Linked DNA regions of Lepisosteus oculatus. Each later gene encodes a partner of the first gene's protein in a complex. Links are inferred from orthologs where the notes say so. Each region holds a gene or a part of one and is shown on either strand. Other genes may lie near its edges.

Region 1 (7,757 bases):
CACTGTTAACAATGGTTTCCTTGCAGCAATTTGTCCTGGTAGGCCAGCTTCACGCGACCTCCTCTGAACAGTTGATGTCGACACATTGTACTTCTAGTTGCATTGAGCTCAGCAGTTAGCCACCGGTTTCACAGACTTGTGACTCTAATGAACTTATTCTCTGATTCTGAGGTCACCTTTGGCCTGTCTGACCTTTTTCCATCCTCGCGAGTTCCGGTTTATTCATATCGTTTGATAGTCTTGGCCACGGCAGTTACTGACACTTGCAAAGTTCTTGCAATTTGTCGTAAAGATTGATCTTCATTTCTCAAAGTAATTATAGATTGGAATTACAGACTTTTGCCCATGCTCCCTATATTTATAGTAATCGTGGACCCTCACCTGTTTACCAATAATTGGTGACAAAAGGTAAATGAGGTAACATGCTAGTTAACTGTGAGTTTACAAAGAATTTTAAACTTATTTTAGTGTTCTAACACCATGTTATACACATTTCTAACTTTAAACTAACCTGGGCTTCAGACTGAAATCCGCCTGCTTTGGGTGTTCATTTTATTGAAAATCAAAAATTAACATTTTCAATGCAGTTCACTTCAGATTAAAAGTACACATCTCATGTAATTAAATATTAAGTGCTTTATAGACAAGTTTATACAATTTAAAGCAGAGATAATCATAAACCTGGTTTCAAGAAGGTGTACTCAAACTTTTGACTGGTACTGTATATTTTTGCACCTATTCTGTGGAAGCCTAGAAGACTGAAAATCAAGAGACATTCTCTGACACGGACATCACGAGACATTCTCACACGGACATCATAGTCGCCTTTACCCAGAGGACTCAAGCAGATAAAAAGCTGTTAAATGTCTCAGCCCAAAAAGATCAGTTAAGTCAGGCTTAAATTAAGTCTGTACAGCTGCCCTTCTGCTCATCACAGCCCTTCTAACCCCTTAATTTTCTCTTCTTTACACTCATAACAAAAAAGTAAAAAGTAAAAGCAGACTCCGAGATGCCCAAAACCCTTGAAGCCACCAGGATTTCAATCACTTAGCTCCCAGAGAAGAACTTAGTGCACTGAAGCTTACAGAAGTTACTAGGTCACAGAGGCACACAGAAATTGTTCACACTGTTTGGTGTACAGTATCAGTTCATTCCATTTGTCTTTGGTGCTTTGGAGCTGTAGTTCAACAATTCACTATTCACATGACACATTATCCTATGTACAGTACATGATCACCTCAATAACCGATGGCTCAAGTGGTGCACTGTATTCTTGTTTCCTGCCCTTCTAGTAATAGCTGTCCCCTACCTTGCAGAACCTCAAGCTTTTTTCACTGGCTAGGAAGGCCAACAAACACGATAATTAGCAAACAGCACTCCTACAGTAGGACATGTAACAACAGCAGGTGACATAATGATTTTTGCTGCCCTCAGTAAAATCCCCACCCTGCTTTCAACTGAGAAAACATTACATTTAAAGGGCAAATCCAAATGAATATACACAGGAAGACAAGGCCACAGAGAGCGAGATCAGAGAGCCCCTATACCAGCAAAGTGAAGGAGATGATTCAGGCCATGTGTGGATGAGAGACAGACAAAAAGCAGGGCCATTCTAATGAGGGTATCCAAAACTACAGAGAGAGGAACCAGCAGGAAAGAAAGACTTTGCAGTGAGGATGGCAGGTGCTCAGGTGGGACAGATCTAATTACAGCTCATGCACCAGTGCCTGGAAGAAACGAAAGAGGAGAACTAATGGAAGAGACAGAACCATCAGTAGGATACCTGCTGAAAGCTTTAACATTGCAGCATCCCAGACGTCACAGCAGAGCCAACAACCACAACAGGAGAACTCAGCGAGGTGGAAAGCAGCAGCACCAGATGAAGATGCAACAGCACTAATGACAAAGACTAAGGGAATTGTTCAGAGAAATCACATAACAAAAACAGAGACTGGTAACAATACAAAAGGTCCCACTGCAAGGACTGGAACACCAGAGCTATTAACACAAGCACTGCCCATTGGTTTGAAGGTCACAGAACTGAGGGTTTGAAGGTCACAGAACTGAGGGAAATTCTGATAGTCAAGGCACAGACAGAAGTACTTTAAACACTCAATGGGGAAGGTTGCTCAAAGAAGCAAAGAAAAGGTAGGCACTTTTGAAGATGGTTCAGCTGTTTTTTTCTAAAAAATAAAAAAACACCGTAAATTGTGCGTGTTCTGCTGTAATTTTTCAAAAGCCAGGAGATGAGACAAGAGTACAGGATGGAGAAAAAAAACACTGTAGTACAAATGACATTTTTATACAACTGAGCCTTAATCATACTGCACTCAAATTTCATTCTGGGAATTTATCTGAACCTTGCATATCTAAGAATCATTTTAGATCAGCACACGAGAGAAAACCCTTCTTAACCTGTTTCTAAAACTTTATTATCACAAATTAAGTTAGTGTCTTAAACCTAAATCTCTGATATTACTACCTTTCTGAGTGAGAACTCTAGAATTTACACTGTCATACCAGTAACTCGCTGTACATTATTATTGCAACTATTTTGTATCGTCTGCTTTTTAAAGCTCATGACACGGTATACTTTATGTAAAAACAAAAACTAATAAAAGACGTTATCAGTAGTTGGCAGCATAGAAATACTTCAGCCGAACTCTGTAGTAAATATTATTCACAATTACACTACAACAAAACATCTAAGCATATTTTCAGATTTCAGCTCGTAATTCAGTTAATTATTTTCATCAGATTTATTTTTGCTACGTTGTGACGGTATCTCACTCTGAGTAATCGGAGGGGCTGTAACTTGATGTAGTGTCACTCTCATAGCTGCCTTCGTCGTCCTCCGGTTGTTGTTCTCTGTATGGACCGGGGGTGAAAGGAGACTCGGAGGATCGCTGGAAATCTCGAACCTGGGAATTCATCTTCTGATACGCATTAACACGTTATAGTAACGCATACCGATCTTTCTCTAAACTGTCTACAGTACGTTACTTTCTCACGTTGACAACTAACACTTCGCCATATTGTCCCGCATACGGGTTAGTTTGAGTCATGTGACAGGAATACCACCTTTCTGATTGGCTAGCAGCGGGGTTGCCATAGGCACAAGGAAGCCTTGACAAGCATAGAGGCAGGTTACACAGGTGTGAATGGATAGGTGTCGGCGATTAAATAAGAAATTGCAGAAAAGCCATTTCCTTAGTTATGCGTTTGTGACACTTAGTATACACACAAGTATATACAATTGTGTGTACTTAGCTGTCTGTCCTATTTAACAATCTGTGTTATTTGTACTGTACATATATTTCAAAATCATAAAAAGATTATTTTAATCGGTTGCTTTTATTTAGTTTGGGAGTAACCTTATAACATTAACATAATAATAATGTCTGTACGGTAGAATACATAGAAAGTATTGTGAAAGTTGAAGTAAACTTTGTAGTAAAATTTGGCTTTACATCATTAAGAAAATATTGTTTAAAAATCGTTATCTAAAAATTAATTTTCTTAAAACATTAAAGTGCTGCAAAATATTCAATTTTTTGTCAATGCGGTAAAATTTTTATTATATCAGCTATTTAATTATGCTTGAATACGAGGTGTGTGCTTACCACGGTTGACAGTTTGCAACTTACTTTCTTGGTAACCTCACTGTTGTCCTGACGCCAGAGGCGTGGATGGCCACAGTGCTGTAAAGCCTAATAGTTTCGACAGAGAGTAGATGTATTTCTTGCTTAACGTCTAATGCTACCACTTGCGGTTGTCTTTTGAAGGGTTTTTATGGACTAAACTGGATGCTTACCATTGGTGTTCTTACTGTATTAAGAACATTCAATGTGAACAGAAAAATACAAGTGAAATGTTTCTTTTTACATCTCAATAAAACTTCGGCCATTTGGCAGCAAATTCCCCCTGATGAAAAGGCACAGTACAGTGTATTTCCTTGAGAAAGCTAACAGTAACGGACGGCGATGTTTTAGTTTCCCTATGGGTTTACAGTAAGAGAAGGCAATGTTAAAATAAATTCGATATTATTACCCTTTAAAACACGTCATGCACAGAAAAGGTTCTGGAGATGCTTTCCAGCTGCAAATGCTAAACGTTTAAAAATAAACGTATCTTGATCATCGTTGCCACCCATTACAACTAGGTCAAATACTGTATTATCAGAAAAAGGAAATACTGTTTTTATGTTGAATTATGTCAAACTGGCTTCATGTCTTGTGTAAACAACGCAAGTAACGTGACTGTTATTTTGAATGCGAATACAATAAAAAAATATGTTGCACCAAGCAAGACCTTAATCCCCAAGTATTCATTGACCAGTACATGAATACAAAAACTATGCGCACTTTCTCCCCACATCTACTGTACAATCTGTTAAATGTAACGTATATGGTTAAAAATTCATTACTTCCCCAAATGCCAAGTTACTGTTGTTGGAGAAGAAGACCAAGGTACACTAACCTGTAGAGAAGCACGCTGCGCACAGAATCGAAATCCTCTAGGTTCTTTGAACAGGGTCTTGATGTTCTTCCATCTATACCGACATTAAACATTCTTTATTCCTGGATCATGTTTCCACGAGGAGCAGATGCTGGAATTAATACCAGTTGGATACAAACCCATTGCCTTTGAGCGTTAAGGTTTAGCAGCTATACGTTGGCTGTGCCGCGACGCCAAAATCCCTCCCATCGCAGTTTTTGCAGTTTATGAAGAATAGCCCCTTCAAAGACCGTGGCTCTCGAAGCGGTGTTTTAAATTGTGTTAACAACAATGTAATCTCTCGCTCTGGCAGTCGGCGGTACATTCCAGACTTTCTCGCCTTCAAACTGAATGAAAACTCCTTTCAAATTAGCTTCCCCCCCAATTCACACGCCAGTCACTGACGGTACAAAGCTCTCCTTTACCACCCGTTGCTTTGAAGGCAAGGGAAGCGGCACTAGAGTCCTTCACAGAGCCAGGGCGCAGTCGTTAGAATAAATACCGAGCGCCAATTCTGGACAAGCAAGATCTGTGCTCTGCGGTAAAGGGATTACTGCCTTTCCTCAATACTAAACTGAGTTTTGTATTGAATTGTGTTAATCCGCAGCCTTTACTTAATCGTTTAAAAGGCGACTACCAGACGAAACGTGGTATGCACAAACATTTCACATTGAAAAAAAAACCCTCAAACTCTCCTATGCATAAACAAGAAGTGCGCATTCACGCCTTCAAAAACTATATACTGTACAGCGTAACCAGTACAGATTTTATGTAAATAAAAATCTACAGTACATTCAAGAAGCGTTTAATCCAGTAATGCCAGAAATATTACTTTTGTCACGATTTTAGACATTCTTTATTACTTTGAAAAATGTTCATTTCTTTCTCAGATGTCTGCTCATAGATATACAGTATCACCCACAACAGACTTGTGGTTGCAAGTAAAGCAAATTTTATCCTATTTTATGTTTGTTAGTTAATGATAACCAATAATACGGAATTAATAACGTTAATTTATCTCATGTGAATTTGCTTCAGACACAACAAGATTATGCAGTCATTCTTATTGTGTTTTTAAAAAAAATTCTTAATTTTATTATTACTTTATAAGCAGTAACACAAGTGAGGCAAACGAGTAGTCGGGTGCAGTTTCATAACTATCCAACTTGTGAGGACGTAGCAAAATTAAATTGTGTTACATCGCATGTCATTATTATAGCACATTTTTTACTTCTCACGTTGGTGAGTAATTTATAGGCTGCCACTTAGAGCCCGCAATTCGACCCAGTATTTATTTATCATAATATTCTTGGTCATATCCAATCAGCTGATTGTTTGTCCTTTATAGCGCTCACTAGTGATTGTATTAAACTAGATATATATATTTACATTTATTGATGATTTAAATACCAGTTACCATGGATGATGGCCACTGCAAATCACAGACGATTTAATAATTGAATTGAGAGTGCCATCTTGTGGCGTGAAGAACGACCAGGCCGTTCTGAGGAAAAAAGGTTTCAAAGTATTTCAGCAGAATAACGCGATTTTCGCCATTTAGCCAATGAAGAGGTTGACACGCACAACAATCTGGGAGTTGTGTCGGAGTTTCTAATAACTACCCTTTCAATGTCGTGGACAGACAAAACTTCCCCTCCCACATTATCGGTCTAGTACAAGTCTAGTATTGAACCTTTTTGAAAAACTGTTATTATTAGACTTAACGGAACCACTGTGAAGAGAGACCGCAGCAATAATTCTTACAACTTGGTTTCCAGGACAAGAGGTTTTCACAATAAAAAAAAAAATCAGATTTTATTGGAAATCAATACATATCAGTAAGCATACATAACAGTTCACAAAAAATATAAAATGCCCTTTTGCTGAATGGGTTCTGACTGTTTTTTTCAGTGGAGAAACAGTATTTAAGTTGGACCTCCCAGCTATTTATTGCACTTGACAGAAACTGTCAAGCCATTTTTTGATAGCATGCAGACCATTACACATTCCCAAATTATCCCTACTTGTACAGAAAATAAGAGACAGAAGTGTCACTCTGTTTGATCTTCCCACAGTACCTGCTTGACTGTTCTGTGGGACAGCTACATGACGAACTTCCTAACAGAGCAGTATTCACTATATCAACCCACCTGAATCCCCATTTACTGTGTCACCTCTTTTAAATTGGATAATGTTTGTTAATTCTTTCAGGATTTACAGAATTTTAAATCACTGCATTCAGTTGAGATCCTGGCTTACAGTAAATTCATGTCCCTTGCTGTACAGTATGTCAACATCTTGTGCTTTCATTTTGAGTTGTACAAAAAACAGCTCTTCTTTTTTTAAACGTTCATTTTAAAATAATTCTAAAGGCAGTTCTCATTTAAAACTTGTACGTTAAAAAAAACCCCAATTCTACAGAGGTCCTAGCCAACTAAACACTTGGTTTGTCTTTTAAACATGAAAGAGTTAAATGTAACTGAAGTTTAAACCTCAATAATGTAGAAAAAATGCATAATCCAACATTTTAAATGTGTGCTCACAGTTTATTAGTTAAGGTACTGTAGATATTCATAAAATATATGGCTTTTGTTAACCCAGAGTAACTTCACAATTTATGTTTCATCAACAATAATCATATTAGACATAAAATTCAAGTATTTTAGAAATATGGCAACTTTGAAACCCAAAGTATTTTTCGAATTTCCTAAAATTCACAAAAATCAAATCCGTGGACGGATTATCTATATATTCCATGAATTTCAAAATATTTAAATGCATAGTAATCCTTTTCAAATAGGCAATAGCTTTTGAAATATCATTTTTGGAATCCGTATTTTCAAATGCGTTTAATGTCTCACTGGCTGCCTGACATATTGTATTCGATTCGAGTCAGACTACTTTGTCCCTGTTGATGAATCATCCAGATGTCACAAAAATACTTTAACTGAAAGGCGGCATCAAAATTTTAAACTTACAATAACCATCTCAATGAATGCATGTGCGCTATGTGCATTCTTCATATGCATATAATTTAATTAATCAATAATTGAATTAAGATAATGCAGATTTTGTATCTTCCACATTTTGCTTTTTTGTAAAAGTTTTTTTGTGCATCTTAAGGGTTGCGATCAGTTCACAATGACTGTGAAATCTTGTGCTTTGTCCTTATTGCCAGTTTACAGCAGCCTGAATGCTGAAATGGAAAGGTTTAAAATCCTGAGAAGAGATGCGCTTAAGGACAGAAGAGAGGTGGGCAC
Region 2 (7,965 bases), on another chromosome or scaffold:
AACTATATAAGATGTTAATCTTCCCTTGAATTGTGGACAATGCACGAGGAAAGTCAAATGTACGTTTTGGGGAAAAAATCAGAAATGCGAGAGTTACTTCAAATCCATATTTCAGAAAAATCATTGGAGGGGGAAAAAAAAAAAACCAACAACTCACAGAAATGAAATCTCCCTTGAGCCAACTGTCATCCTTCACGGCTTCATAGGCCCCGATCTCCTTGCCATGAACTTTGACCTTAGTGTGATGCACATCAGGGTATTGGGTGGATGAGTGGTTACCCCAGATGATAACATTCTTCACATTGTCAGCTGGGACTCCCACACGAATCGCCACCTGTGCAGGGCAAGAAAAATTAACTACTTTCAGCCTAAATTAGTCTTTTGTTTCCACTCAAGCTATATAAAGCAGCAAGTGTGCTTCAGAAATAGTTTTGAGTAGCCCTTTCACTTTTGGGTAAATACTCTAGCTGTGTAAACAGGACCTTCAGCCTTAGACTGATGCATATTACCAACATCTTTATCATTGGGCAACGTTTAAATCGATATACTTGCTCTTTGTGCTGGACAAGTAGATCCTAGAATACTGAAGATTAACTTGAAAGCACACGCTGGTCAGCTAAAACAAACTTATATCCCCACAGGTTCTCTAGAACATTGATTGGCGGTTATTTGATGGATGTAGCCTAACTGGTGCCCACATTATTACAATACAAACTTTCTACCATTTGGTTACAAGGTCATGGTGAAGGCTGCAGACCTGTGACCTGGCCCTGTTGTGATCCAGACGGGTCAGGCAGGAGAAGTTCTCCTTGGGAATAGAAGGAGCTGACTTGGAGGCAATCAGGCAGTTGGTGTTTGCAGGGTTTCCCACAACCAATACCTAAAAAAGCCAACACAGAGTCAATATGAATTGCCATCAGCAGTCATAGCAGGTTACCACCCATAGATTTGAACAGAAGCAGAGCAGTTTAGATTTTTGGAGAATAACAAAGGATCACTTCTCTTTCTTGTATCAGGCTTAAACCCACAAACATAAGTCACCTGTTTCATTTTTTTGTGTGAGCTCTGCATCCTAAAGCAGTTACAGTACATATATAATTCTTACCATGGAGAGCCCATTCCCGCCAAACAAGGTATGAACACCCCACTGACTGAATACTGGCGATTTCATACCCTACAAATAGTGTTGCTCCTATGGTGGGCACAGTTTCCCAAAGGAATACATTTTTACATTCCAGTTTTTAGGTGTAATAATACAAGATTTTCTGCATGGTGCAGTTTTCATTACCCTCCACAAAAAATGAAAAGCCTACTGCATGTTTTCTGATCTGGGACTCAAAAGATTACTTTGAAATAAGGTCAAGAAATTGAACATAAATGGGAGGAGGTTTGGGGGTTAATCAGTTCACATACTTGTATTTTGTTACAAACAAATCAAATGTAGTTATATACAAGTCCTATTCTAGCAGCTTGGGGCTAGAATAATGTGGTTATTGTGTTGCCATACATGTTCAGTCACCACTCAGGGCACAGGGAGCCATGTGGGCTGACATCCTGGTGTTCCAGTGCATCGCAGGGCAGAGGAAAAACACGCCTTGTGCAATTTTATAGATGACAATTAACATGGTCACAAGGTCTTTGGATTGTGCATGGAAACTCAAGGAGAACATGCAGACTATAAAGCGATCATTGAACCACTGCCTTGGTCTTGCCATATAGATATAATGTATGGTAACTGATGGATATATGCAGCTCTAGTCACACCAAACATCAATTCAAGCAATCACGAAGTGTACCTTCAATGCACTCTTTTCTGAATACCACTATACAAAATAACCTGAACAAATTGGTCACTATTTTTTTATGCCAATGGAGGGCAGAAACACAAGCTGTTTCTATCCCATTTCTTCAAAAGCATTAAATACCAGGAACATTCATTTTACAATTATTCAACATTTCTTTCAAGTGCTTTACCCCCCCTTCAGTCCAAATTACAAGCCCACAGGATGTAAGCTGAGGAATTCAGGTTATTTGCAGCACAGAAATGGGAATTACTGGCTGACTGCTGTGCGCAATGAATTAAAGCCAAATCTAACAAGCCACCAGCAAAACTGTGCTTTCATTACAGGCTCATTAATCTTAGTCACCTTGACGGTCTTCTTGGCATATTTATCCAGAGCGGCACCCTGGGACTTGAAAATGTTCACATTGGCCTTCAGCAGATCCTTCCTCTCCATGCCTTCTTTTCTTGGCATGGAGCCTACCAGTATGGCTGCGTCAAGATCCTTGAAAGCCACCTCCTCCTTGTCAGTTGGGATGACCTCTGCAAACCACAGAATTACACTTCATAGTCGGACAGAAGCTCTGCAAACTCGTTTTTCCCTTGACAAAACAGAGGATTAGATTTCTGCCAACAGCAGCCAAAACTTAAAATGCTCATTTACAAGTGGCTGGAAAACTGCTGGTCACCAATATCAGGCAATCTGGTGTTGCAAGTTGCAATAAACCCCCATTATCAGGCTGAACTTCAGCCTGGGCTCTGTGCATTCATCAATTTCCAGTAGTATACCTTGCACACAGTCTGATTTTGTTACTGCGGCACATACTGTGGGTGGTGCTTTCATCTAGGTCACTAAGTGACCAATCAGAGCCCTGCAGTTCGGCACACCTCTCCACCATCCGCTGCTGAGCCTTACACACAGCAGTGTCAGTTCTGCAGGGGGGACCTCAGACTAGGGCTGCAGTCAGTAGGCAGAGAGCTCCATTATAGCGCTGTACGGCAGGAGACGGATCTTAATCAATGGTGCTGGGACAAAGTGCTTTTCAAGCAGTGGAATAAAAAATATTACACATGCAGTCTGCAATTATGAAGGACTGGTCTGAATTATGTTGCAGATCTGATGTCATTAGCTTCAGCACAAACTAAAATGAACAAAGGTAGACGAAAATGAGATTACAGGATTTTAATTCCCCCCCTCCCCCCCGAGATAAGACGCACAGAAGGAACCATCACTCCTCTTCAAGACTAGCTGTGCACTTCAAAATATTACCTAGAATTTTTAATTCACCCAAGCAGTTAGAGAAGTGCACACCATTTAAAGCACTAACCTACATGTTCACTACACATGACTAGGAAAAAAATACTAATCATATTCAAAATTAAACCCTCTGTAGTAGGATAATTGTCCTCCATTTAGAGTAATCTGTAGGAGTTAAATTACCCCCCCACACATTAATTGCATAAAGAAAGTCCTTGCTTCACTGGGTTAAGGCTCTACACACTAACACGCTTGTCTGCTAGAGAACTGGGACTCCAGCAGACTGGGGCATCGGGCCCAGCATACCTCTCAGCAGTGGGAGGGCACAGTCCTGCAGCTCCATCACCACGCCGTCCAGGACTGGCAGCATAGGGGTGATATCCAGCAGAACAAGAACAAGCGGCTAGGAAGAGGAGGCAAAATACTTCAGAAGGAAGCACAACAACCAGACCAGAGTCACTGCGCACATGCAGTCACGCCATCACAAAACAAGGTTACACCGTGCACATCACCTTCAGAAGAACTAAATTCAGATGCCCTTATTATGGACTAAGAACATGCGAGCAAAAAGTTAAACTCAGCTGAAATAAGCATTGGCAAGGAAGTGACTAATGTTAAATTCAAGCACCACTATTTTATAATCCTAAATTGCCAGATACCATTTTACAGCCCCTGGCAAAAGACCCACTTACAAACAGTACGTTTGTAACTTACACGTCTTTAGTGTCTGCAGTTTGCCAGCCCAAAATTAAAGTTCTTCAGTACCATCGCAATTTAATTATATATGAGGCCTAGGGTGTGTTTCCTAAAGAAAGATGCAACTAAACCGGTCCATTACTTACCTGATCTTTGCCGAAGACATCTCCCTTAGCGATGCTGTACAGAAGGGAATAGGCGATCTGGCCAGCAGCGCCAGTTACCAAAACTTTAATGGGATCAGACTGCAACAACAGGGTGAAAAATGGGGGCTTAATGACGGACCATCTCAAATTGCTTTATAAACATTTTCCCCTCCCAGAGTCACCTCCCGCAGAAGCGACTGCAAGGACATCTCCATAGATACACAGCACACATTCAAAATAAAGATTAAAGCCGATAATCAATATATCCTCAGAAATGTTTATGCAAGTCTAAATGAACGTTAATTTATCGGTTTCAGCTTCGCAGCAGGAATAAACTTGCTGTTCTACATTGCAGTGACCTTGGGGTTTTGTTCGAGGTAACAAAAAGCATATAAACAGGCATATAAGCAGCCATTAGACTACAGCAGATGAAACGGATGTCGGAAAAATCATAACACCATGGCGATTATGCACTGCAAGTGTCGTGCAACGCGTACGCAAGTCAAGTAACTGTAGCTCATCTTAAAAAAATGTAACGCCAAATTTATTTGGTGCAAATTTGAAAGTGCAAACTGTAAACGCCTTTCTTAAACAATGGAGTTCAACATACCAGAAACTCCGGTTCCTACCCTCCAACGTCTTCCGATTTATATCATATTTATATTCAATCGGCCCGATGTCGGTACCTATGTACAATGCAAGGCGATAAAGTGGCAAAACCGCCCAAAAAACAAACCAGAATCCTAAACACGTTAAAAATGTACATATGCATGTCTTTACAAACCGATGCCAACCGTCCTCTTACCATTTCGATGACTCTTGATCTGCTAGACACCAACTCTCTCACCTAACTGAACAGAGTGAGGGTGACCTCTATTTCAGACAGCAACTGATCACGGGGGCCCAACGAGTTGTTAATGCGCATGTGCCGCTGACCCCAGTGTATTCTGGGACTTGTAGTGTTGACTCCGGCAAAGATTTTTTATTTTGCTCCGAAATCGAAATTTGGGAAATACATTGTCCAGTATGCCCTGCTCCCTTCCATTTTTAGAATCGCCTGCCAGTATTTCATTGGGGGAAAAGGTGATTAATATGAATGTGGAGCTCGGCTTTCTTCCTGATGTAAGCACGATTTTCCAAATGTATAAAAAACAGCGGCATTTTTTTGGACTTCCTCTGCATGAAAACACTTTTCTACCTACAGTATATATGTTATCTTTTTTTTAAAAAAAGTGATTATCCGCTCAAAGCGTTTAACGCAATTTCTACACGTGTGCACGGGCATGTTCAGATCTAAAATTCGGAATCAGGAGATGATGGAGGAATGTTTACACCTCCGTTACTACGGATGATTAATATTGCTTAAAACTTCAGTTGCCCTCCCGGGAGGAACGACTTGTCTGACCCGGAAGGTAATGGCGGTCGCACGCTGGGCCGAGGGAGTCTGAGAGTCGAGGAAGCTTCCCTGGTTGCCTGGACACGGAGAGCAAGACCTGCCAGCCGCTTCAGGAAGCGTTCGTGCGGCGATGACGGCGTACCGGTGCTCAATCTAAGAAGTAGCTGTAAAATAAACAACAGTCTTCTGTACATCACATGTACAAGAATCTTTTGAAAAAGAAACAAAAGGGTAAAAAATTACACCTTCTCTTTGACACAGAGACCAGTAAACCGTTTTTTGCTCCTCCGTCTGAATGCAAGCTGCAGAGATTGCACATCAGATCTCGGAACACAGCAGGTAGGTTGAAACTGGAAGTTTAAAATGGCATTTCTTAAGTGCTTGTCAAATACGCCAGTGGTTTCAAAATACCTGATGTCTTCTGCTTAAAGATTTAACGTGAGTATAGATTCATGATTATTCACTGTGCATGCATGTTTGAATGAGCCCGTTTGATTTAACAATGCCAAACTATAAATGTGTAGAGTTAGTCCGACAGGCTGTGGGATTAATACTTTCCAGCTTCTGAAATAATGGGAATTGTGCTACATTTCGTGATTTCAGGTTTAGAATTCGATTGCTATTTCTTCCTATCGCTTACTGTTCTGCAATTGCAAGTGATGTTCATTAAAATAGATGTTATTAAAATGTAGTTTTATATTTTATTCTCAGAATGTATGAGACTCTCTAATAGAAATCTGAGTGATTCTTAATTATCAACCTGACCTTGGTTAGTTTAGAAGCTTCAAATGTCTAAAATACTTTTGTATTAAACATAACTGTGCAGTTCATGAGCTCCACCGAAACGACAGTTCTACTGGTAGTACTGAGTAGATACAATACCTTTGGATAGACAGTTTCAGTATAATTTACCCGTTGTTTTTTCAAATTATGTTAATACCATATCTGCCTTTCACTTTTTAAAATACTCCCTTCTTTTTAAAATCTACCTACAATGTGCAACTGGACCACGGTCATTTACCTACAAGTTAAAATAACGTCATTGGATTATTGAAGAATTGATCTTCTTGCTAAGACAGAACGAATACGCTCAGACACTCTAGTGTACATTTAACAAATGGAAAAAAAGAAAATTGTTCTTTGAAAAAAGTTTTTAGAAATGACCTTTCACTGACGGGTGAAAAAAAGTGAAAAGTGCTGTATAAGATCATTATTTCAGAAGAATCCAAGTACAGTAGATCATTGTTCCTCCAACGCTAAGACATTTTTGTTGTAGTTCTGATGTTTATTTTTCAATTCAGTTTGCGTTACTGGACTAAACCTTCAGATCCTGGAGCAAGTGTTACTGCACTGAAACGAATAGGAAAGAAAACAATTGGAAACAATTAAAGTAACCAATGTACAAAACAATTGGAATAATCTAATATAATAAATTAAATAGCAACTAATATTGATTAAATGTGTGGATCAGTGCCTGAACATAAGGTTGTCACAGAAGGCTATATACTGATCCACCTCCTCAATGAACCCTTATCTTTGTAGAGAATACATAGAATTTATGTGTTTTTTTTTGGTTGGTCCGGTGGAGATCACTTCTAGCTACAAATTACGTTTTGTTTGACCTAAATGTTTGCTTGCAATGTAGTGGTATTTCTGTAGATTTTACTTATTCACTTTCCTTAGCAAACATGTTTCCCTAGCATCTTGAAAACATTTTGAAATGTGAGTTTTTTTTAAGAGTTCTTGGAAATAATAGTGGGTGTTTTTTATTACACCCACTATTGAGCAACATGGTGATAAGCTGCTTCATAGCTCTTGGGTGCTGGGTTCAATTCTGGCCTGCAGCACCTTCTGTGAGGAATGTGCATGTTCTCCTCTGGACATGTAGTTTTTCACTGGGTGCTCTGGTTTCCTTCCACAGTCCAGAAACATGTTGTGTATGTGTCTCTGAGGATGTGCCCTGTGATTGACTGGCATCCTGTCCAGGGTGAATCCTGCCTTGAGCCCGTGGTCTGCAGGGCTGGTCTGTGGCTCCCCTCGGCCCTGTGTTGACAAAGCTCTTATTGGAAATGGATGTATCAACGATGAGTGTGATTCGTGTGAGTTGAATGTTTGCTGTCAGGAGAGATGCTGTAACAATGGGAAGAAGAAGTGCATTAACCTACGATTGTGAGATCGTTGTCATTCTGGTTTGACACAGAAAATTGCAGTTCCCTGGCCAGGTGCTTAGTCCTTTCAGAGCAGGAGTGTCAGAGGCTTTCCATTCAGGGGGTAGTGTTAGGTGATCTGACTTATGAATATTTCATGGTCTAATTACAGGGTCATTACATCAGTTGAACAAAGCTGGCCCAGATTTTATTACATCTCATTGACTTTGGAAACCATTATGCTTTGACAGACATTTCCAAGTGCCTATTAAGGGTTCTGTAGTGTTATTTATTTAATAAATAGGTCATTTTAACAGGTTTGGATTTTTTTTTAAGTAGGTGTGGTATTATTTTACTACTTTGTTTTCTTGCAGGCAGAAACATAGTTCTATTTTGTTTTTGGGTTGTCTTCTGTTCTGTTGGATCTGTTTCCAGGGGTATCTTTTCAGGGCTGTTAAGAGCGTTAACAAACAGATGAGAGGATCGGTGGTGGCTGGAAAAAAGATTGTCCTTTAGTCTTCCAGCTTCCAGCTCCATGCCTC

Evidence for each region.
Region 2: the proteins of intu (region 1) and wdpcp are in contact, whole or in part, in a cryo-EM structure (PDB 7Q3E), measured with the Mus musculus proteins. The link is inferred for Lepisosteus oculatus from reciprocal best matches to the Homo sapiens genes INTU and WDPCP. Residues at the interface, in NP_780724.3 of Mus musculus: Val481, Gln484, Val488, Asp491, Ser495, Asp496, Glu498, Ala499, Ala500, Asp501, Ser506, Glu507, Asp508, Arg513, Arg514, Thr517, Ser532, His533, Leu534, Pro535, His574, Tyr593, Glu610, Gly613, Cys614, Ala615, Ser616, Lys617, Ser653, Pro654; in NP_663400.2 of Mus musculus: Phe3, Cys4, Leu5, Ile24, Leu51, Ser54, Arg55, Asp56, Lys93, Leu385, Ala386, Glu387, Asp388, Tyr389, Ile427, Lys446, Leu447, Gly448, Ile449, Leu450, Thr451, Arg452, Gly453, Leu455, Leu462, Gln463, Ile465, His466, Tyr467, Gln487.

Annotation. Positions count from the first base shown.
Region 1 is NC_090696.1:66,111,076-66,118,832, reverse strand, and holds the start of intu (protein inturned), read right to left. Parts: upstream 3,063-7,757; 5' UTR 2,934-3,062; coding exon 2,791-2,933; intron 1-2,790. UniProt on the Homo sapiens protein: Plays a key role in ciliogenesis and embryonic development.
Region 2 is NC_090712.1:9,392,063-9,400,027, forward strand, and holds the start of wdpcp (WD repeat-containing and planar cell polarity effector protein fritz homolog), read left to right. Parts: upstream 1-4,964; 5' UTR 4,965-5,507; exon of another isoform or gene 5,508-5,615; intron 5,616-7,965. Other genes in the region: mdh1ab (malate dehydrogenase 1Ab, NAD (soluble)), read right to left, coding at 158-334, 758-880, 2,148-2,323, 3,345-3,441, 3,881-3,979, 4,686-4,688. UniProt on the Homo sapiens protein: Probable effector of the planar cell polarity signaling pathway which regulates the septin cytoskeleton in both ciliogenesis and collective cell movements.